Drosophila melanogaster: one gene and its partners. The protein of the gene in region 3 purifies or fractionates together with the protein of the main gene of each other region. This does not show direct contact. Each region holds a gene or a part of one and is shown on either strand. Other genes may lie near its edges.

The links.
Region 1: the proteins of CCT6 (region 3) and spidey purify together in Drosophila melanogaster (affinity purification with mass spectrometry, with the first as the bait; one large-scale study listed by BioGRID). This does not show direct contact.
Region 2: the proteins of CCT6 (region 3) and Gale purify together in Drosophila melanogaster (affinity purification with mass spectrometry, with the first as the bait; one large-scale study listed by BioGRID). This does not show direct contact.
Region 4: the proteins of CCT6 (region 3) and Droj2 purify together in Drosophila melanogaster (affinity purification with mass spectrometry, with the first as the bait; one large-scale study listed by BioGRID). This does not show direct contact.

What each region holds. Positions count from the first base shown.
Region 1 is NC_004354.4:7,907,210-7,912,706, reverse strand, and holds spidey (spidey), read right to left. Parts: upstream 3,777-5,497; 5' UTR 3,336-3,776; coding exon 3,170-3,335; intron 2,830-3,169; coding exon 2,783-2,829; intron 1,999-2,782; coding exon 1,923-1,998; intron 1,855-1,922; coding exon 1,514-1,854; intron 1,456-1,513; coding exon 1,120-1,455; 3' UTR 822-1,119; downstream 1-821. Other genes in the region: dpr14 (defective proboscis extension response 14), read left to right, coding at 5,369-5,450.
Region 2 is NT_037436.4:646,462-651,937, forward strand, and holds Gale (UDP-galactose 4'-epimerase), read left to right. Parts: upstream 1-2,093; 5' UTR 2,094-2,590; intron 2,591-2,717; 5' UTR 2,718-2,718; coding exon 2,719-2,958; intron 2,959-3,771; coding exon 3,772-4,062; intron 4,063-4,122; coding exon 4,123-4,644; 3' UTR 4,645-4,850; downstream 4,851-5,476. UniProt on the Drosophila melanogaster protein: Catalyzes two distinct but analogous reactions: the reversible epimerization of UDP-glucose to UDP-galactose and the reversible epimerization of UDP-N-acetylglucosamine to UDP-N-acetylgalactosamine.
Region 3 is NC_004354.4:15,744,748-15,749,728, reverse strand, and holds CCT6 (chaperonin containing TCP1 subunit 6), read right to left. Parts: upstream 3,082-4,981; 5' UTR 2,959-3,081; coding exon 2,822-2,958; intron 2,422-2,821; coding exon 957-2,421; 3' UTR 758-956; downstream 1-757. Other genes in the region: Mvd (mevalonate diphosphate decarboxylase), read right to left, coding at 294-364, 426-477; CG8944 (uncharacterized protein), read left to right, coding at 3,687-4,409, 4,560-4,916.
Region 4 is NT_033777.3:13,380,120-13,385,842, reverse strand, and holds Droj2 (DnaJ-like-2), read right to left. Parts: upstream 3,738-5,723; 5' UTR 3,699-3,737; exon of another isoform or gene 3,640-3,698; 5' UTR 3,585-3,639; intron 3,022-3,584; exon of another isoform or gene 2,731-3,021; intron 2,579-2,730; exon of another isoform or gene 2,380-2,578; 5' UTR 2,365-2,379; coding exon 1,264-2,364; intron 1,174-1,263; coding exon 1,063-1,173; 3' UTR 560-1,062; downstream 1-559. Other genes in the region: CG9799 (uncharacterized protein), read left to right, coding at 1-133; mRpS21 (mitochondrial ribosomal protein S21), read left to right, coding at 4,134-4,280, 4,340-4,456; CG8870 (uncharacterized protein), read right to left, coding at 4,500-4,947, 5,025-5,574, 5,631-5,703.

The DNA of each region.
Region 1 (5,497 bases), 7.8 Mb from region 3:
ACCACCTCCTCCTTCTTCTACTGCTCCGTTGTCGACGACCTCTCCTTCTTCTTCTTAACCTCCACCGCCGCCTCCACCGCCTCGCCCGTCAACGAATGAGAAACGAATACAAATATGGTATCGCACAGTATTGTATCGGCTTTTGGAGAAGCGTCCGTCGTATATTGAAATATATGGGCAGAGAGACAGCTGGCTGGGAATCGAAATCGGAACCACAACTGTCGGCAATATGCGCCAAATCAATACTGGGCGACGCTGCGGATCCGCAACAAGTTGATTGGTTTGACCAGCTTTATCCGGAGCGGAGTTTTGATTTCATTTCGTTTCGAATCGTCTCGTCTCGTTTCGTGTTGATTCGTTTCCGAGGAAAGGAAATCAAAACAAGCGACTCTGATTACTGATTACACGCTCCTTCGATTCAGCTTGATGTGTTGTTGTTATTGTTGTTGCTGTCGCTGCTGCTGCGCAGTTGGGATTGGGCTGGCCCTGATAACACGTCACGTCATGAATCCGATTCATTACATTTCACGCCCGGCTATACACTATCTTTACTGTTATGTTTATGAATTTTGCCCTTTGCTTTGCTTCTTCGCCCTGCGCGAAGTGTTGTATCTCTTTCTGTCATTCCCATCTCGCCGATTAGCCGAAGGGCGCGCCTATCGATGACCAATCGATAGCTATTGCCGTTATCGACACATCCAATTCAAATTCAAATTGGATCCGAAAAACATGAAAAATCATAGGGAAAAAGAAAAATCGCTAGCAAGAACAAATAAGAAGTTAAATACAAAATAAAGGACTGCAAATAAAAGGCGTTATTTATCATTGGAAACTAGATATATACATATATCTAGTAACACATTTTTTATTGTTTACATGACATGGCTGTTTGCGAATCTTCAATGCTAATTAATGACAAAAACTAACTAAACTTAGTTTATTTCGGAAAAATGTTTTTTTTTTTGGTATTTCAAGCTATCTGTTTGTGGATTCGTATGACACGCGGTAATTACGTAAGCTATTTGACTAGCCGGATTTTCCCCACAACCCAACTGACCCACTCATCATCCCAACCGATTCCCATTAAATGCCTCCTCCGCCGTATTCATCCTCAATAATCTACTGTTCCTTGGCCAGGCGGCGCAGGGCACGTTTCCGGGTGCCCAGGATGTTCTTCATAACGATGTTGCGTGCGAACTGTTCGCCGAACACCGCCTCCGTGAAGTGGATGACCAGCTGGAGTAGAGCATGCGGCAGATAGCCCGCCGTCTGGGTGGCAATGCCCAGGGTGGACAGCGCCGAGCGGACATACGTTTCCGGCGAGGGAGCAAACACGCTAGCCTTTCGGATCTTAGACATATTTGTGGCCACAAAGCCCGGCTGGACGCTCTGGATGAGGATGCCGTGCTCCTTGTACTCCGTCTGCAGGTCATCACTGAATTTGTTCACAAAGGCCTGCAAATTATAGGTATTAGTAATTAGCCTTCTATCACTTCTGATGATATCCACTCACCTTGGTGGAACTGTACACGCTCAGCAGCGGATTAGGAATGACTCCGGCGGTGGACGATACATTTATGATCACACCACGTCGCTGGCTAATCATGCCGGGTAGAAAAAGTGCGGTCATGTGCGTCACCGAGTGGATATTGGCAGCCACAATGTTGCGCAGGAATGGGGGATCGGCTTTGTAGCAGTCCAGAAAGTACTCGGGATGGCCGTAGCTGATGCCCACGTTGTTGACCAGCACTCCGACATTGAGGCCAGTGGTCTTTTCGCGGATCTTATCGTAGATCTCGTCACCGCCGGTGAAGTCCACATCGATCACACGCACCTCCACACCGTATTTATCGCCTGAAAGTAGACCGCAAAGAGCAGTTGTTAGTTGAAGTTGTTAACTGTATTTTAGTGAGCAGACTTACCTATCTCCTTGGCCACCACATTCAGTTTCTCCAGGGATCTACTAATCAGCACCAGTTTCAAGCCCCTGCGAGCCAACTGAAAGTGATTAAATATTTATTAGCCTGCTCATATTTACGTACTTTTGGATAGTAAATTCTTAGGTCAGAGATAAAAAGCAATGGTGCTTTGGAATGGGAACACTGAACGTTTCTACCTAAAGCAGGAGTTTCAAAGACGAGTAACCCGTAGATTTTAAGAACAGGAAGTCATTTAAGTGTACTAAGCGTGTATATGAATAGAAATTGGGTGTGAACATTGAACCATTTTCTGTGCGTTCGACGCACGCCGAATGCTAATTTGGCACAAGCTTCGATCGGGGCCCTGTGCTCCACTCTATAAAGTAATTGCCATTCAGGGGACACGTGTTCCCTATAGCTTCTAGCTTCGTTTGCTCCAAGTCTGTGTATTACAAAATAAAACTGGCAAAAAAAAAAAAAAATTACCACAAAAGGTAGAAAAATCAACTGCGATTGCACTTTGTAAAAATAAATAACGAAAAGTACAAATGTAGCGATTTGCAGTCAAGCAAACACTATTAGGGACTGTTTGCGACTGGACTGTTGACTGAAGATCGATTTCAAAGTGCAGATTCACTTGGCTAATGCATTGGCGACCGCTAAACCAATGTCCAAGTCATCGTGGGCGACACTCAATTCGGTAATTAGTAATTACTAATTGCTCATTATTACTATCGTTTTTTGTTTGTTTGTTTGCTTGACCCGTTTCCCATTTTACTATAATCATCGGTCGAGCTTGGACGGACTTTGCTTGCGCTGGTCAAGATTGGGGCAGCCCTTCCATGTCATCTTTGTGTACATACCTCCTTGGCGTAGGCCTTGCCAATTCCATCGGTCGACCCGGTGACAACTGAAAGTCGAAAAAGTTAGCCAATAGTTCTGTGGGTTATCAGTGGATTTATGGGGCGTGGGGAACGATCTTATCGGTCACAGTGAAAAAAGTACTGAACTCCATTTTGGAAAGATATATAGTGTATTCCTTTAGGCAGTTAATGCAAAATTGGAAAACTTGAAAGTAGAGTGTTTGCAATTTGGAAATTCCCTTTCTTCACAATTTAATTGTAAAAGGGTCTTTAATCTTTTTAACTACACTTCTTTAGCAAACTTGCTATTCATTTTTTCACTGTGCACTCGGAATCGACCCCGTTTCCGCTCCTTTCCGGCATGTTTTTCCATGGCAACCGACTCACCTGCCCACTCGCCCATTTTGGAGAGATCCACCGAGGAGCCAAAGACCTTGGGGCCAACAACATTGGCGTAAATCCAGGGCAGGACCTTCCGGAAGACCTGGAAGCCCACGATTCCGATGGCCAGACCGCCCAGCAGGCTCAGCACTTGCGAGTTGTTCTCCTCCATGATGTTGATGATGGAGATTAGTGGTTCCTGGTTCCTGGTACTCCTAGGCAATGGTACCTATTGTATGTACTATATGGTGCGATTGCGATCGGTCGACTGCTATAGCCTCTGCCGGCTGATTAGTTTCTGATTCTACGATTTTCGAGCTGCAATGCCGAAATGGAAATGCTGACGCCGCTGCTTTTTTTTCGCCTCTGCCGACTGCGCTGCCTTTTCGAACTGTATTTGTGGTGTGTTGTAGTAATTCTACACACACACACACCCTTCGAAATCGCCACTGATTTTCGATTACTCGATTTATGTACGCGTGTTTTTTGCCTGATTTGTATTCCAAATGCGTTTTCTTTGAAAGGAGAAACTTAGGGTAGAAGGGGGAAAATAAAAACAAATGGAAAAAGCGATTGAATGTCAATTGTCAACGGCACAAAAGCAAATGAACGGTTCTTTTTCGTATCCATGTGCCCCCCTCAGAGGGGTGTGTGTCTGTGTTGTGTGCCCACTTATGTCATTTCATAGCGCTCACGCACACCACCAAAAAGCGAAAGATAAGGGCGGCTGCAAACAGTGAGCGCAAAAATTTATCACACCAAGAACCGTTATGTTGCACTAGCTGATTTTAAAAGAGGGATGAAATGTAAATTCAGCAATAGTTTTCCGCCTAAGGGTTCACAGGTTCATTACCGTATATCCTTCTTTTACTAGTCTATTAATTAGTTTATTTAAAAGCGAAAAAAGCATGCATATGTATATCATAGGAGGGCAGTGTAAGTTCTATGCTCTCACCAATACACGCCAGAATGGGGCAATCACCGAAATAGTCTGACTAATTTCCTGCACATGCGCAGGAAGCAGAAAGTGCGATAAACAATTTAACGCAGCGAATGCTACAATTAAAGTCGTTAAATATTTTTGATGTTTCTGAGTAAAGCCCGCTATATTAACGGTAAATTATTGATGGAGCGAGATGGCTATAGCGGATCGCGTATGTGCGAGGGTAATCCTTTGCCTATCGATAAATATCGGTTACTTATCGAATTTCGAATTTGAAGCTTAATTTGACAGTAAAAGAATGGTAGTTTATCTGTATTTTTACTCTAGGCTCTTAACAATTAGTAAAATACAGGTATTTCTGAGCTCAATCGCCCGATTTATTTGCATGCCGAGCTATACGGATTCAAAGGACCTTGTTTGGTGGGTAGAAATCCCTGGATTGCAAGAATGCCGAGAGAGATGCTGGCCTTTCGGAGCGGATTCAGTGCCGAAGCAAGTGTGGGTGAGGGAACAACAACGCCGAAGGACCGGCAAAAGCAACTTTTATATTGTTAAATATTTATCAGAACCATCCGCCGAAAAGAGCTTTTTTCCTGGACAAATGCAAACAAAAGAAGAAAAGAAAAGTCTTTTTCTTTTTAAAACAATCTTGAAGATTGCATTATTTTGAGCTTGAGAGGTGAGTGGCGTCTGCTATTTGTTGTTGTTGCTCGGGTAGAGGGATTCCTTCGGATGAAATAATAGGGATGCGGATGCTGGCCATGCGCAGAGCATGCCCTGACCTACATTCCCGTTTATTGGCCATCCGAGCAGCAGTTGCAAAAGGATAAATACACACGCAACACGAGCTGGTTAATAAGCGCTTTTCCGATTTTCCAATTGTCCGACATTCCTATCCCTCCAGCCTCCATCCGCGCGCTGAAAAGTGTGCAAAGAAATCAACAAAAAAGAGAAAAAGAAAAAGTAAATATACATATATAATCGAAAAGGACACTCTGAAAAAGAAGATACTTGAGTGCAATATGTCCAGCAATATTTTGCCGCAGGGCAATCGATAAGCGAAGCGAAGTGAAGTCCGTGGAATCATCGCTGGCGATGCAGTGGGACGCTGATGCAGTTGGACTTGGATCGATATAGAACAGTTTAGAGGGGCGTTCGTTCATATGTGCATATCCTGCGGCGAGTGGCGCCAGTCGATGCATCATCCCGCATCCTGTTACCGTATCCCGTAAGTCGGCATATGAAGACACTCCGCTGCAGTGATGAGATCGAGGCTGTTTTGGATACTGGCGATTATATACTCCTCACTCCATCACATCGGCTCGGGTTCCACGTCGACCACATGTGAGTCTCCACCTCATGCCTTAATCACATTGCAAACTTTTACCCAA
Region 2 (5,476 bases), on a different chromosome or scaffold from region 3:
AAGTAACAAATTTAATAAATGTAATAAATTTATGTATGTAGTCTCGACTTCGGATCGCGCATAGAAAAGTGCGTTTTGAATTTAATTTTCCATATCTTCAATTTAGGAATTGAAAACTTTTAGACGGGCCATGCGGGTTCTGCCAGAAAACGTCACGAAATATGTATAAATTGCTTAATTTGTGATAAGCATTTATGGTGGCCCGGGCGATCCCAGTTTCCAAGTCGGTCTCCGTTGGGCCATGTGAAAAGTGCACCACTTTCACTATTTCCCTACTTCATTTTCCCATTGCCGATCCGAGATCAAATTAAAGTGCCAGAGTCGGTGCTTATCTGGGGTGGTCTCTTTTGAGGGAACGCAGAACATACATAGATGATTATCGGGCACAAACAATAATGCGGAAAATTGGTTTTATTAAGATGGATAACCGAAATTTACAATAAGTGTAAGCAAGGAAATTCTATTCGTTTGGCATTCTATTCGTGGAGTGGAAAGTGTTTGAAATAAAAGATCACATACTAATAAACATATAAGTACAGTAAGTAAACAAGAAGACGGACATAGCTAACGGGCCGGGCCAGACCCCCCGAAAACCTTAGCCCCAGCAATAACAGCAATCCAACTCTCGGACCGAACTGATAATTCCCCCATATGTGCAGGCGGGATTGGATTGGGAGCTCGCTTCTATACATATATATATATATATATTTATGTATGTAGACTAGACCGCAGCACATTATGTACAAATACGTAGCTTTAGGATCGACCACTTCCACTTGGAGACTTGTCCGTTCTGTCTTTCTCTTTCCAATTCTGTTTCAGTTCAGTTTCTGTGGCTGCGACTCTGACTGTGCAAATTATTGTCGCTCACATAAAAAAATATTGCAGGCCAGCGCCATTCAGAGGCGAGCAATGCCGGAAGTTCAACTAACTCATTTCCGGTTGTCAGTATGTACATATGTGTGCCGCCCGAGAATCTCAAAATATATGTAGATGTACGTATGTATGTAGTACATGCGGTGTGCGGTAAGCATGGTCTTGCGGTATATGTATGTACTGCGTCTTCCTTATCGAGTGAGCTTTCCCGCATTCGAGAATCGATTCGTTTCCAGATGATTATGTAGATTATTATGCCGAAGCAGTATTTTACGGTTTGTTCTAATTTTGGGACTCTTATGCCGCAATTTTTTTTAGCGATAAATTGAAATGGAATTCGGAAACCATAATCAGAAAAACGATTTATTGACTGAGATAGAACTATTCAAACAAATAACGATTATCGACACTCCAAAAACCATAAGATAAAGCCGGTCAAATGCCAATCTAGGTTAAAGCTCCGAAGCTTTCGACCCATTCATGCATTCCATTCATTCAGAACCGAAAGCAGGCGCATTTCATTGAGAGACTCGTCGCTGCGCAAATACATTCTCAATTAAGTTGTAAACATTGTGAGATCTTTTTCATTGCGTATTGAGCACATGCACTTCCGCTTATCATTAAAGATTTGAACCGAATTTGGGTCACCAAAAAGCTGTCCGAACTGCGGTTCTAGTTATTTATGACGATGTAGTTGTACGCATTGTACTGAAGTTTGTTGTTATCAAACGTTTGCTTTTCGAGTTTAAAATTAATTTTGAATCTGCTCCGTTTATCAGTCAAGTAAAATGTCAACTTATCTACATGTAAATTTTACAGAAGCACATGGCAGTGATGCCAGATCATATAAGATTATTATCTTGGGGATAGAATGCGTTACAAAATTACATTGCATTATGAATTTGGCGTTATTCTCTTATCATATGTTTAATTAATTACGATTTGTGATTTTATACGCTTTATAATGAAAACTATTTTTTTACCACCCCTATTCGCGTCTCCAGAATGTTTTCACATTTAAACACCGATATGGGCGCACTTCTTGTTTTAAGTTGTTCATATCGATAGACAGCCAAGAAATTTATCGAGACGAATCCCACTGTGCCAGGTAGCTGAAAAATCGGCGAATATGGCAGCGTCGAACGAGCCATGTCGCGTGGCAACGCTACCACTTTGTTTACTTTTATTCGGAGAGCGAAGTGAAGAGCACCTGGAAATTGCATTAATGGGCATGGAATCGGGAGCCAAAGGTCAGCGGCGATAAGGATGCACTTCGAGGTGACCCCGGCCGTCCGTCGACCAAGTCAGCCTGCTGCTAGCACTTGAATTAAAGTGACAGGAGAGCTCCGAGCCCACCAAACCACCGAAACTGATAAGAAGTGCGCGTTCGGAGAACGGAGAACAAGTTAAATAGGCTCCGTGGAGAGCCACCAGTTCAGTTGGCCAGCGACCGCAGATCAAAACAGACGTACGACAACACAGATGAATGAGGAAGAGTGCAAGAAACGGGTTAGCACACGATAGCACTCAACGGTCAGCGATCTTTGGCATCTTCATCTACACCATCATCTGCAATCTCGTCGGAGATCAGAGGCGTTGTTTTTAGGCATCGGAATCCGAGGCGGAATCGTTTCAAGGGCACGTCTCTTGCGTCTAGCTAAACTCAATCTGATTCACTGAGCGGGGATTCTCTACCATAATCACCTGTAAACAGGTGAGTTACCCGTTTTTCGCCAAGCAGACGGCTATTTCGCACGCCTGCCGAACGATTTTGGTGACGTCAATAAGAACTGGGCACTCGTGTGGCCTAATTTCGTGTGTTTTCCCCTTTCGCCACTTAGGATGGCCCCACCCACGGTCCTGGTCACCGGAGGAGCCGGCTACATTGGCTCCCACACGGTTCTGGAGATGCTCAATGCGGGCTACAACGTCATCTGCGTGGACAACCTGTGCAACGCCTACAGCAGCGGGGCCAAACTGCCGGAGGCCCTCAGCCGGGTGCAGGAAATCACCGGCAAGAAGGTCAACTTCTATAGAGTGGACATCACGGACAGGGAGCAGGTGCGCTCCGTCTTCCAGGAGGTGAGCACACGTAGCATTACATAGCTGGCACGTCAGCAGTTCGGAGGTTCTGGGGCAAATGTGCCAACTGGATACCATTCAATCAAGCTTATCTGGCATGCGCGCTATCAGCTTTTTTCTCGTTCGCGCTTGTTTTGTTGTTTGCTCAAGTGGCGGGGCACTTCCGACGAACCGCCGTGCTGATCGACCCTGAATGAAAGACCCACTTGGCGAGGTCGCATTCGAGTTGGTGCGCTGGCATCCACATCCACAACAGCTCCCGGGCACGTACACTACAATCTGGGTGGTCGGGAGCCCAGATTGCAGTGTTTACATCCATTGATAACCAAGAGAATTCGCTAATTCGAGCAGGTTATCACGCATTCTTGAGATGTTCGATCAAAGGGGTTTTTTTTGTTAACCACCGTCGTTTATAAAAAACAAAGCGTTTATTTACATGTAATGAACATTATAAAAATGCACGTTGTTGCCCAAATAGCCATGAAATATCTTAAGCTGATACTTTTTCATATTTTTATTCAACCATAAATGCACACAGCTTTGTGCTTACGCGCACTGATTACTGAATAGATTGAGCAGTATTTGTTGTGGTGGAATTTTTTACCTAATCAGCACTATCAACAGCTATTTAAAGAACACATAATTGTTTGTCAATAAATCACCTTGAAATCAATGTGATACTTTCATTTAATTGCTATTAAATTCTGCACTTTACGTTTATAAGAGGCAATATCCTTGTGCTTACTGAAGAGCTGGTTATTACAGATTTGGATTTCCCAAACTAATAGGTACATATATTTACATCCCTTTCAGCACAAAATCGACATGGTGGCCCACTTTGCCGCCCTGAAGGCCGTGGGTGAGTCCTGCCGCATACCTTTGCAGTACTACCACAACAACATGACCGGCACCAATGTCCTGCTGGAGGCGATGGCCGACAACAATGTCTTCAAGTTCGTGTACAGCTCCAGCGCCACCGTATACGGTGAGCCAAAGTTCCTGCCCGTGACCGAGGAGCATCCCACGGGCAACTGTACATCGCCCTACGGCAAGACTAAATATTTCACCGAGGAGATTCTCAAGGATCTGTGCAAGTCTGACAAGGTAGGAGGATGTCATTTCTTGATGTCCATAAGTTCTGTACTAAAGAATTCGCTCTTTCAGCGTTGGGCAGTGGTTTCGCTGCGGTACTTCAACCCGGTGGGTGCCCACATCAGTGGTCGGATTGGCGAGGATCCGAACGGCGAGCCCAACAACCTGATGCCCTACATCGCACAGGTGGCCGTGGGTCGACGTCCCAGCCTGAGTGTCTACGGCAGCGACTTTCCCACGCACGACGGCACCGGCGTGCGCGATTACATCCACATCGTGGACCTGGCCGAGGGACACGTAAAGGCGTTGGACAAGCTGCGCAACATCGCGGAGACGGGCTTTTTCGCCTACAATTTGGGCACCGGCGTGGGCTACTCGGTGCTGGACATGGTGAAGGCGTTTGAGAAGGCCTCCGGCAAGAAGGTCAACTACACTCTGGTGGACCGACGGTCCGGAGATGTGGCCACTTGCTATGCGGACGCCACGTTGGCGGATAAGAAGCTGGGCTGGAAGGCCGAGCGTGGCATCGACAAGATGTGCGAGGACACGTGGCGCTGGCAGAGCCAGAACCCAAACGGGTATGCCAACAAGTAGAGCTGTATATCGCCACGTTCCTGCCGCTCCGCAAGTTCCTGAGTTACTACGCCTGATAATGGCTCAGGTAGCAATTTCTATTTGCCTCTAGTTGTGTATATTTCTTTCCAAATTTCGTGTAGTATTCGCTCACTTCGATGTGTGCAAGTGTGCGTATGTAATCCAAAGTACTTTGTAATTAAAAAGGCTTTTCGCTGTTGTCATGTAATTTTGTGACCGTCATTTACGCGTTTGGTGACCGCTGGCATCATTGACGCGTGCCAATTGGCGCAATCACGTAATTAAGGTCACCGACAAGGTGGCACTGGGAGATTACACTTGGCATTAGGTAAAATAAACACACAACTGCATCAACCATTTGTCAGATCTTAATCAAAAATGGCATAATCACATTAAGCTGACCAAAGTTACAAGAAGACGTCTAACTCGCACATTTATTTAGCAAACATTTATTCAAATGCAATATAACATTAAAAACTCAATTTTAAACTTAAGTGATGCGCCTTCTTCGCACATATCTGCACAGTTAAAGTCATTTATCACAAGTATGTACTATGAATGTATGTTTCTTTCAACAACTCTGCGTTCGGCTGCTGCTTCTGTTTGGTTTTGGAATGGTCTGCACGTATAAAAGTACAAAATTGTTTATATTCGAGCCTGTTGTTTCTGGGAGTGTTTGTTTGTATCGGTATTTGGCAATCTGTTTTACACTTAGGAGCTTGGCGATTCGTTCAACAAGTGATGGAGAGGCAAAGAAATCGAATTCAACAAGAAGCATTACTAGGTGCTACATTTACGTCTGGCTACATGTGTGTGCGATATGCATACGTAA
Region 3 (4,981 bases):
CATATTCAAAAACCCATTTTTTTTAAGTTAGTAATTTCATTTTAATCTTAAGCAAATTCAGTGTCCACACAAATCGAAAGAGAGAGAATCGGTGAAAAGTGAAAATCCGTGAGATCTTCCCAAATTAAATAGAAAGTTTTCGTAATATTTACATTTGTGAGAAAATGAAAACTTCGACTACGCGCACTTTAAACTTAAACCATTATTAAAAGCGTCTAAGGTTTTTTAATTTTTTAATTACAATTTGTTGGTTTTAAAACGCAAATAAATATTTAAATATCTTTCATATTTACCTCATCGGTGCTCAGAGTCATGCTAATGGAATCATTGACGGGCAGAATTAGCTCTTCGTGCCGCTTTCCCCCTTTAAAGGAATGCATGTGCATAAGTTTATGTGCTTATAATATATGTATTAATTTACCCACAATATTTGATGAGCGCTATGTTTACGGGCGCCACACAAGTAACCGAAAACATGTTTGAAAATGTTTTTAATTCAGAAATTCACTTGTTTTCAGCTGCTTTCCAGCGAAAGCGACAACTGTTGACTGCGGTGTGACCACCCAGTGGACTCTTCAAATATACCATGTGGCCCCAAAAAATGTAGTTGTGGGTATTCCCCAATTACCGCCCATATTGAGGTTTGAGTCACGGCTAAATCGCTATTTCCATTTATTTTTAAACCAATGAAAGTTTGTAGTGAGTAAACATTAGTGTTAATAAAAATAGAAAATACATTAGCGTTAAGCATAGAGCTGTGTTTGGTTTTTGTATTTATTAGAATTGTATTTTAAATGTGAATACTTGCAGCCGCAACCATTCCGATTTCATGTGTTTCCAAATTATTTACGTGTTTAGTTTTCTTTTGGTTGTGTGTGGCTTTGAGAGACGCGGGTTGAGTAGCATGCGGTGCATTAACTTGGTTAAATTGAATGGGTCGGATGAAATGATGGGGACTAGCCCTTGAGGCTCGTCATGCCCGCACGCATCACCTCGTCGACGAGAAGCAGGTTGCTGGCAATGATCGAACAGGAGTTGAGGATCTGCTTCTTAACGATGTAGTTGTCGTAGACGCCCAGATCCACGGGCTTCATGGGCTCCCCGGTGGCCAGATCCAGGCCGACCAGTTCGGGACTCAGGCGATCCTCAACAGTCAGCTTGACGATTGTGTCCTGGGCATCGTAGCCGCTGTTCACGGCCAGCGTCTTGGGAATGACCAGCAGGGCATCGGCAAAGGCCTGCACTGCCAGGCGGGACTTGCCCTTGATGGTGTCCTTGAAGGCGACCAGCTCGTTGTACGCGCGCACCTCGAATGCTCCAGCTCCGGGCACCAGAGCCTTATCGGCAATGGTGTTGTTGATGGCACGCAGACCGTCCCTGATGGCGTCCTTGATCTGGGTGATCGTGTGCTTGTTGGGACCCTTGATCAGGATCGTGACGGACAGCGGGTTCTTGCAGTCCTCAACGAAAGTGTACTTGTTCTCGCCCAGAACATGCTCGTACACCACACCGGCGTATCCCAAGTGCTCCTCCTGCAGATCGTCAAAGGAGTTCATTGCAGTGCCACCGCAGGCCAAAGACAGACGCTCCATGTTGCGGCGCTTGGCGCGACGCAAGGCCAGGATGCCCTCCTTGGCCAGGGCGTCCAGCGAGATGGGGTCGATGCCCTTCTGGTTGATCAGGACGAAGGTTTTGTCGGTGCCATCGCACACGGAGCGCTTCAATTCGATCACCTTCTTCACACGCTGGTCGATGAATTCGCGCTCGGCGCGCACAAAGGCCTCACGCTCCTCGGCGGTCTTGTAGAAGAAGCCAGAGTTGACCTCGGCCTTCTCGTACTCCAGCGAGACATTGGCCGTAAGGATGTAGGCATTCTCCAAACGCTTCGGCATGTCCGGGTGGCGAGCACCATGGTCCATGACTAGTCCACGCACCAGCTGTGTATCGGTATCGGATTTGTGCTGCATCTCCATCAGCTCCACCATGTGGAGGTCCACGGGCTTGGTCTTATCGGCACTGGCAATGGTCAGCACGGCATTCACGCAGACGTCCGTAAGCAGATCGGCAAGGGCGGGATGCACCTTGGTCTTCAGACTTGTGTTGGCCACCTCCACCAGGTTCTTCTTGTTGATCTCCACGGGCACCTTGACCTGGTCGAGCACCTCCAATGCCTTGTCGCGTGCCTTCTCGAATCCATCGGTCATGATGCGAGGATGCAGTCCCTCGGACAGATAGATATCGGCCTGCTTCAGGAGCTCGCCAATAAGCATCACAGTGGTGGTGGTTCCATCGCCGGTGGAATCATCCTGGGCCGTGCTGGCCCTGGCAATCATAGAGGCAGTCGGATGTTGGATCTGCATTTCGTGCAGCAGGACATTGCCATCCTTGGTGATCTTGATGTCGCCGGCGCCAGAAACCAACCTGCGAAGTTTCTAGAATTAGTATGCTTGTTTCACTTTTCACGGCGCGTGAGTCAAGTCACGCCTCTTTCGATGCCACTTTCTGAATCACCCGGTGCTGGATATGCAGGTAAACACACATTTATGAATAAATTAAAGCCTCTGGGGGCATCTTTCATTTAAGATTCTTTTTGAAATTAAATAAAAACACCTAAATTCTAAGCTTTTTGCTCCAGAGTTGCAACATTCTCTTTCTTTCTTTTGCGATGACGCATGCCGCTAGTTCCAGTCTAACCTCAAACTTGCAGTTGCCGCAGCTGTGACCAAAACGTTTGTTTTTTCGCCTATAAACTAGCATTCTCACTCAAATTGCTAATGGAACGCAAAGTGAGGGATATTAGAGGCCGGTTTTAGTAACTTACATCTTAACGGTGCCCTTGGGTCCCAAATTGGTGCGCATCACATCCTGCAGTCCCTTGGCGGCACTGATATTGATGGCCAGAGCCTGGGCGGCGCGGGCAAACTCGGCCTTGGGGTTCAGCAAGCTAATCGAAGCCATCGCGTGTCGCAATTAAACAGAGATTTTCTTAGCTCGGCAAAATAAATCAATAGGAATCGGCACAAATCCAAGCACGCTTAAAGTTAGGCGAATCGAAGAAATCAGATGGCAAGTGTGACCAGATGGGGGAAAGACAACTAGAGACTTCAAAGCAGTACAATCGATAGTATTGTAATCACTTCCAATTTGTAACACTTTTATTTATTTCTAATTAGATTTTTCGTTGTGGTGGCTTACATGCAAAATGACATTTAAAAAATGTTTCATATATATATCTTTTTTTTTATTTAAATTTATTAAACGAAATTATTTTATTGACTAGCGTACCATTACCCTTCTTGGGCAACTTAATTTAATCGGTATCAATTTAAGCGATTCTTAATATCTAAGTTATTTACAAAGATTATATGATTATGAGTATTAAAGAAGGTCTTAAGGGTGGTAATATATTTCCCGCTAGTAATGGCTATTTCCCGCTAAATCACTGCAAAATAAGCCGCACAATTTAATCGGCTCACCTGCGACCACCGATGGCGATTAGCAAATGAAATGCAACCGTGCGCCCAAACCCCAACACTAAAAAGTTTTTTTTTATTGGCCAAATCGGGATAAAATCAAGTCAAAATAAGGCACAATACTAGAGTGCGCCGACCGCAGCGTAGAGTACCAAGAGACTTAATTGAATTCTGATTGTTAACCGGACAGGACGAGGATCCGCAGGCGGCGCGATGAGTGTCCTGGCGTATCCACGTACCAACGACGAGGAGATTTTCCGTCACTGCACCAAGGACTGCGGCATGGTGACGGCCACAGATGACTTCCAGTACTTCGCCCTGCGTTGCATCTTCTGCAGCGAGAAGTTTCTCTACTTCGACTCCTTCATCGGCCACATGCAGACAGTTCACCTGGGCGACCAGTCCGTGGCGAATACCTCCTCCCGTCTCCCCTTCAATCTCGGCGAGCCCATGTCCCTGTCCGGTCGTAATGGGGATCTGCCCAACTTCCACGAGATCGAAGACTTAACGGACGCGGACACAGCGCTGCTGGAGCCCCAAATGGTCATCAAACAAGAGCTCCAGGATCTGCCCTGCAGCGATGATGATGTGGTCGCCGGCGAAGAAGACGACGATGAGCAACGGCTGAACGATTCCGAGGCCGATGAGGACGAGGCCATATTACCCGAAAGCGATGTACCGGTGGTCAGTTCCAAGACGCGGGCACGCAAAAAGGTCACAAAGCAGCGCCAGAGGGACATGTCTAGCGAGCTTCTCATCGCCGGTGACGGCGATTCATCCATGGACGACTACGGTGATCCGGATCACAGCTATATGGACGACAATTCCGGAGAGTACATGGACTTTGCTGGATTCGACGGCGTTAACCACAGTGGTTTCGGAACCGAATCGGACTTTCTCAGCTATGATGAGATGGTGGAGGAGTCCCTGCTGGGAGTAAGTTATATTTTTATACTATATACATACAGATATTTTTGTTAAAATTTTCGCCCATCGATTTAAAAGCTACATTTATTTCACCCTTAATTTTCACTAATATCCATATATACCTATTTGTAATGATTTTATCATTTTCCCACCCCTTAGCGCGACCGGGAGGTTACGATGCACATCAAGGACCGCAAGATGATCCAGTTTCTCATCCACTCGTATCAGCGCAACCCCTTTTTGTGGGACCACGGCAATGCACAGTTCCGGGATCGCGTTAAGCGCGCCCGCTTCCTCGACTGGATTGTGCTGGAGTTCAAGAGCCGGTTTAACATCTCGCTGGCCAAGGACGCCATCACCCGTAAGTGGGACAACCTGCGCACGGTATACAAGCGGGAGTGCAATCGCATGGCTCTGGAGAAGACCAACATCAGTACGCTGTGGTACTTCAAGGAGCTGCACTTCCTCAACGAGGTATACAGCTACAACGATAAGATGTCCGATGCTGTTGTTAAGGTTAGTGGCTCCCCTTTCAATTCGATCCTATGCGTCCGCTTCTCTGAATTGGGGGTGGATTGAAA
Region 4 (5,723 bases), on a different chromosome or scaffold from region 3:
GACGGAGTTCCCGGATTTGGTAAAGGAGCTGCGCACTGTGTCCCAGGTGCAGCAGGAGGCTTGGCAGCGTGTGGAGGAGAAGCTCATCTATGGAACTGGAGTTGTGGCCGCTCTCCGAAACTTTGCGCACTAGTTTCCACCAGATTATGTTGTAGTTCATTTTGAAATTTTGTAAATAAATTTACAAAACATTTTACATTTTGAATTTGCTTTTGATGTTATTCCTTGCGACAGGCAGGTCCGCAGATTCATTTATAGGATGCTTTATAATCCTCAACAACTACAAAATCCCTCATTATATCCTTAACGATTTAATGGCATTACCATATATATCCCAAACTATCCTTATCTTTCTTTTTATCTTTTACTTATCCCAGATAGCATTTTAAATAATGTACTCAAGACGAAACTACTGCCATATGCCTGATATCTCCAATTGGCATTATTCGAATGATTCACACCTGCGGGTGACTATGCAGCGATTATGGAATCAATAGATAGCCGGAGGAAGGCAAGTGATACTGGAACTATGGGAAGAAGAATATACAGCATTTGGGTTGAAATTGTGTATTAATTATTTATTTGTTATATCCGTTTAAACTAACGCTTTTATTTATGCTGGAATTAAATAACTTAAACTTGTTCCTAGACGTGTTCGCTGGCGCGGACTTTAGATACGGTTCTAGTGGCGGCTAATTTCAATTTCAGTTTAGTTTAGTTTCAGTTTCCGTTTTCGATTCTTTGACAATCCAACGCAACATAAACATAAAGAAAAATGTTGGTTTACAAACAACCACGCGTTATAGACATAGTGCATATATCTGATAAGTTTCTTTGATTTATACCTAAATATCGTAGCTTGCATGAAATAACTTTAGATCTCTCGATTGGTTGGGCCTCCTAGTGTGAATTGGATGGTGTTTTAAGGTGCTTTTGGGAGTTCTTCGGCACTTGCAAGCGCAATTACAGTGTTCCGGGAGCTGGTTTACATATTATTACGGCTTGTTGGTTGGGGTATTATTAGGGCTGTGTGTCCGGGGATGCAACACGCAGCGGGGGCGCTTAACTCGATGTGCACTGCTGGACGCGTGGGCCATCCTGATAGCCGCCATCGTCCTCATCGTAGGCCATGCGCTGGTGTTGCTGGCGACGTTGCTTGGGATCAAAGTCCTCCTGCGAAAGATAAGCAAATCGATAAATAAATTAATTATAAATAATATATTATTTATATATCGTGATATAAACTACTACTGAAATACTCACCAAAACCGTCTGCTCTGCATCGATTGGAATGTCAACCTCCGGCGCCGGGGGTAGGCACTGTTTAAGCGTGGGCACCACCGACGGATTGATCACCTCCGGGAAGATCACCTCGAACTGGATGATCAACGTGCCCTTCTCCATGGGGTTCTTGAAAATGGGCATACCCTCCTCGGCAATACACTTGGTCATCTCATGCCTGATAACCTCGCCGGGCTGTGTGGACACAATCAGATCGCGATCATCGAGCGTTTTAACGATTCGCTGGAATCCGCAGAGCGCTTCGACAAGTTGCAACGGCATCTTCATCATTAAATCCTGTCCGGCGTGCGCGAATGTGGAGTGCTCCTTCTCGTCCAAAAGAATAATAATATCGCCCGGCTGAGATTCCGGCTCATGATCGCCCTCTCCCGTGAACACGATCTTCTGGCCATCCCGCATTCCCTTCTCAATGTGCACTTCCAATACCTTGCGTTCCCGCACCGTTTTGCGGCCACTGCAGTTCTTGCAGCGGTCCTTCTCCTGAATGGTCTCGCCAGTTCCCGAACACTTGCGGCACACCTGCTCGATGTGCTGCATGATGCCGGGGGCGATCTGCTGAACCCGTGTCTCCACACCGTTACCACGGCACTGCAAGCACTTCTCAATGCTGCCCTTCTTGCCGCCGCGACCCTCGCACTTGTCGCAGATCACATTCTTCTGGAGCTGCAGCTTGCGGGTCGCTCCATTGTACAGCTCCTCCAGCTGTACGGACATCTGGTGCACCACGTCCTTGCCACGCCTCTCGCGCCTGCGTCCACCGCCACTACCTCCGAATCCAGCGCCAAAGAACTTCTCAAAGAAGTCCATAGGATTGCGGAAGTCACCGGAATCTGCGCCGCCCTTCTTGATGGCCGCCTCGCCGCCTTCGTCGTACACCTGTCGCTTGTCCGCATCGGACAGCACTTCGTAAGCCTGCGAAATGGCCTTGAATTTCTCGCCCTCGTTGGGGTTCTTGTCCGGATGGTACTTGAGGGCCAGCTTGCGGTAAGCCTTCTTCAGCTCGTCGGGCGTGGCATTAGGCTTCACGCCAAGTATATCATAATATCCAGTCTCCTTAACCATTTTGTTTGCTGTTTACTGTGAACAGACGAAGTAGTGCGTAATTACTATCTGGGAGCTTGTAAATAACAGATTGGGGAACAGATTTGTGTATGCTCCAGGCATATATAGGTAGAAATTATGAAGTTGTGTAATACCGAAAATTTTTGAAGTTTCAACCGATTTGGATGCCAGTTCTTATAAAAAATGAAAAAAAAAAATTTATTTTGTGGTGCTGTTTCTATGGCAGCTAGGTTCCCGATGGAAGTTATTGTCAGTTTTATATCTAATGACATTTCATAGTTCAAAGGGCTGATTCCTCTCTAACTAGTATTGTAAACAAAAATCAGTAACCTATATTTTGTTACCCATTTTTTTTTGTAGAAATACATTTTTCAAAATCCAGAAACCACTCGATCATATGACCCTTTCTTGTTTATTGATTTCTACAGCTGTGACTTGATGCCATCACCCATTTTTTTCCGTGTAATTTGGGGGGCAACGGAAAATAGTAGGCATTGCCGGAAGCTAGAGCCCGGGATTCAAGGTCGTTACGCCGCCATGTGTTCGCGAAAATAACTGCGACGTTTTCTAGTCGATTTTCTAGAACAATTGTCGTATTTCAATACGGCGAGCAGCTGACGCTCTCTTTCCCCCTTTCGACAACAACCGCTTCTCTTTCGCACGCACACATACACACAGTTTCTAGAAGTTTTCGTCAGCGCATTGCAGCCCTGGTTTTGCGAACGGCGACTGCAAAGCGGAGAGGGTAATAATGAAAAAACCGTAAAAGAACGAAAAGGGGAACAAATGAAAGGAGAAAGGGCAGAGTCGAAAATAAGAATGGAAATGAATTCTAGAAGCAGCCTTCGATTTAGCAGGCAAATCAATAGATACAATTATTATATTTTCACCAGTGCCTAGCACACACATGCACCAGACTTTGCGCTTGTATGCGTACCAACATGTGCCGCGCAAGACGCTGCGTCAGAAGAATTCGATTGAACAAAGAAGAGAAAAAAAGCTAGATGGCCATCGATTTTGCAAATCTAATGCCAAAAATCGAAGGCAAATTCTCTGACAAAAAACAATTATCGATGATTACTTAACGACAGAGATGAGAAAACCAAGCGCAAAGGAAGTGTCTACCAAGTAGACACACACATTGGCAAACCGCACAATGCGAGACGAAATGTGCAAAATCAGGTGGTAATCTTAATTAGCCCAGAGCCGCCCCAGCTCACCTTTTTTCGTGTCGTGTCGTGCCTAAAGCAAATAGTAACTTTCGCAGCCCGATTCCTGGAAGTTTCACTTTTACAACAAATTTAATTTACGTCGAATACTTTTCAACAGCTTACTATGGCCGCCACGCTAGGAAGAAAACTGGAAACCAGTGTGACCAGAGCGGCAAACGGCAAGAAAAACCACAACATCAGGGTTGCCTCGCACCGCAAAGGTCCGAAAACTGGTATTTTAGTCATTTTCAGGTGATTAGCAATTTTTGATAATTTGATGGGATATAATATGTATTTCTTAAGTGTGATGGGCATTACAGAAATAATTTTGGCAATGCATTAATAAATACTGTGTTGAATAAATATTTTTCTTATTTATTAAGTTGAGTGGTTCTCAAAGTACTCCTTCTGAGTCCACGATTCTTATTAGCAATCGTTAGCCCTGGTTAGTGATATTCATCAGCTGTTTAGCAGTACAGTAAATGGTCACACTGTTTTGAAAGCCGATTATTTAATAAACATTTGGAAAACTTTATAAAATAAAACTACTTATCCGAAATGAGACACGTGCAGTTTCTGGCCCGCACCGTTCTGGTGCAAAACAATAATGTGGAGGAGGCGTGTCGTCTGTTAAATCGCGTCTTGGGAAAAGAAGAACTGCTCGACCAATTTCGCCGCACGCGATTCTACGAAAAGCCGTATCAGGTTCGACTTTAAATAACTTAACTATTTATTATTATTTACTGTATTAAACTATTGTATAGGTTCGTCGTCGCATCAACTTCGAGAAATGCAAGGCCATTTACAACGAGGACATGAACCGAAAAATTCAGTTCGTACTGCGCAAAAATCGCGCCGAACCTTTTCCTGGATGCAGTTAAACTAGTTTTTGAGGCAATAAAATGTAGGAATTAAATAAATTGCTTATTTTCTAGTACGAGATTTGCTGTCGCTGTCGATAAATGGACTTTGCAATTTCGATTTTATCCATTCAAAAAAGTATGAAGTTTTTGTGTAAAATGCTGGCTTGCAAGTTTTAAGTACGCAGGGCTTCTGTCCGTAGGAGATTATGCCGGCTGCATAAGTGAGTGTGACCTTTCCACGTATCACGGTCTCCATTAAGGGTCCCCCGGAATCGCCGGGACTGGTGTCATTCCCATCCAGACCACCAGCACATATCTGACTGCCCAAATTAAAGTCATAATTTGATTTGCACACATCTGGATGCCGTTCCGCGATGAAGCTGCGCAAGAGTACCTCACTTGCAATTCCTTGTCCCATGTCTGGCCAGCCGGATGCTTGAAACTTTCGCTTATGCGCGGCCAATTTTTGGGCTCTTGGAAGGCAAATAGGTTGGATGGCTCTCGTATAGCTATAGGAAGATATAAAGATATATTATTTCAATTCATATCCTACTTCTATTTCGACCAGAGGAGAATCATTACTCACCGCACAGGAAACTTAAGACGCACGAGTGCTATGTCGTTTATCAGCCGCCTTCCCCGGTTGAATTGTTCATGCGTAATAATTTGGTCCACTTCAATTTCCATATAAAGAGGAGCGTACTGTCTTCTTCCATTCACAATAGCCCGATCGGGATTTGTGGACGTGTTATGTTCGCCCAGTCTCACTGTTTTGAGGGCATACGGATAGTCCATAAATGGATACTCCACGCAGTGCGCTGCGGTCAGGACGTACCAGTTGTTTATTAGGGATCCACCACATTTTGGTACCAGCTTCTGGGACAAATTGTTTTTATTTCCATATAACAGCATGGCCATCCAGGGAAACTCATTCAGCGCCGGTATTTTGCCCTTCGTAGGTTTTCTTCTTGATTGTCCACAAGTATCGTGTGGCAGATACGTTTCCCACTTGGGGCAGCACACTTTATTAGTGCCGCATCTTCTAAGACCTATTATATTTTTCCTGGATGAGTTCATAACTGCTCTGGTCCTGGGACACTTATCCAGATTCACGCATTCCGTATCAAATTGACACCCTGAAGGAAGGATAGATTTTAAATTGCGTACAAAGTTTATGCATGCTGAAAGTTACCTGCACCATTTGAATAAGGCACAAGAATTATTTGCAGCATAAGCAAAAATGATCCTATAAGTCCGAACAACATGTTGATCCACGAATATTTCA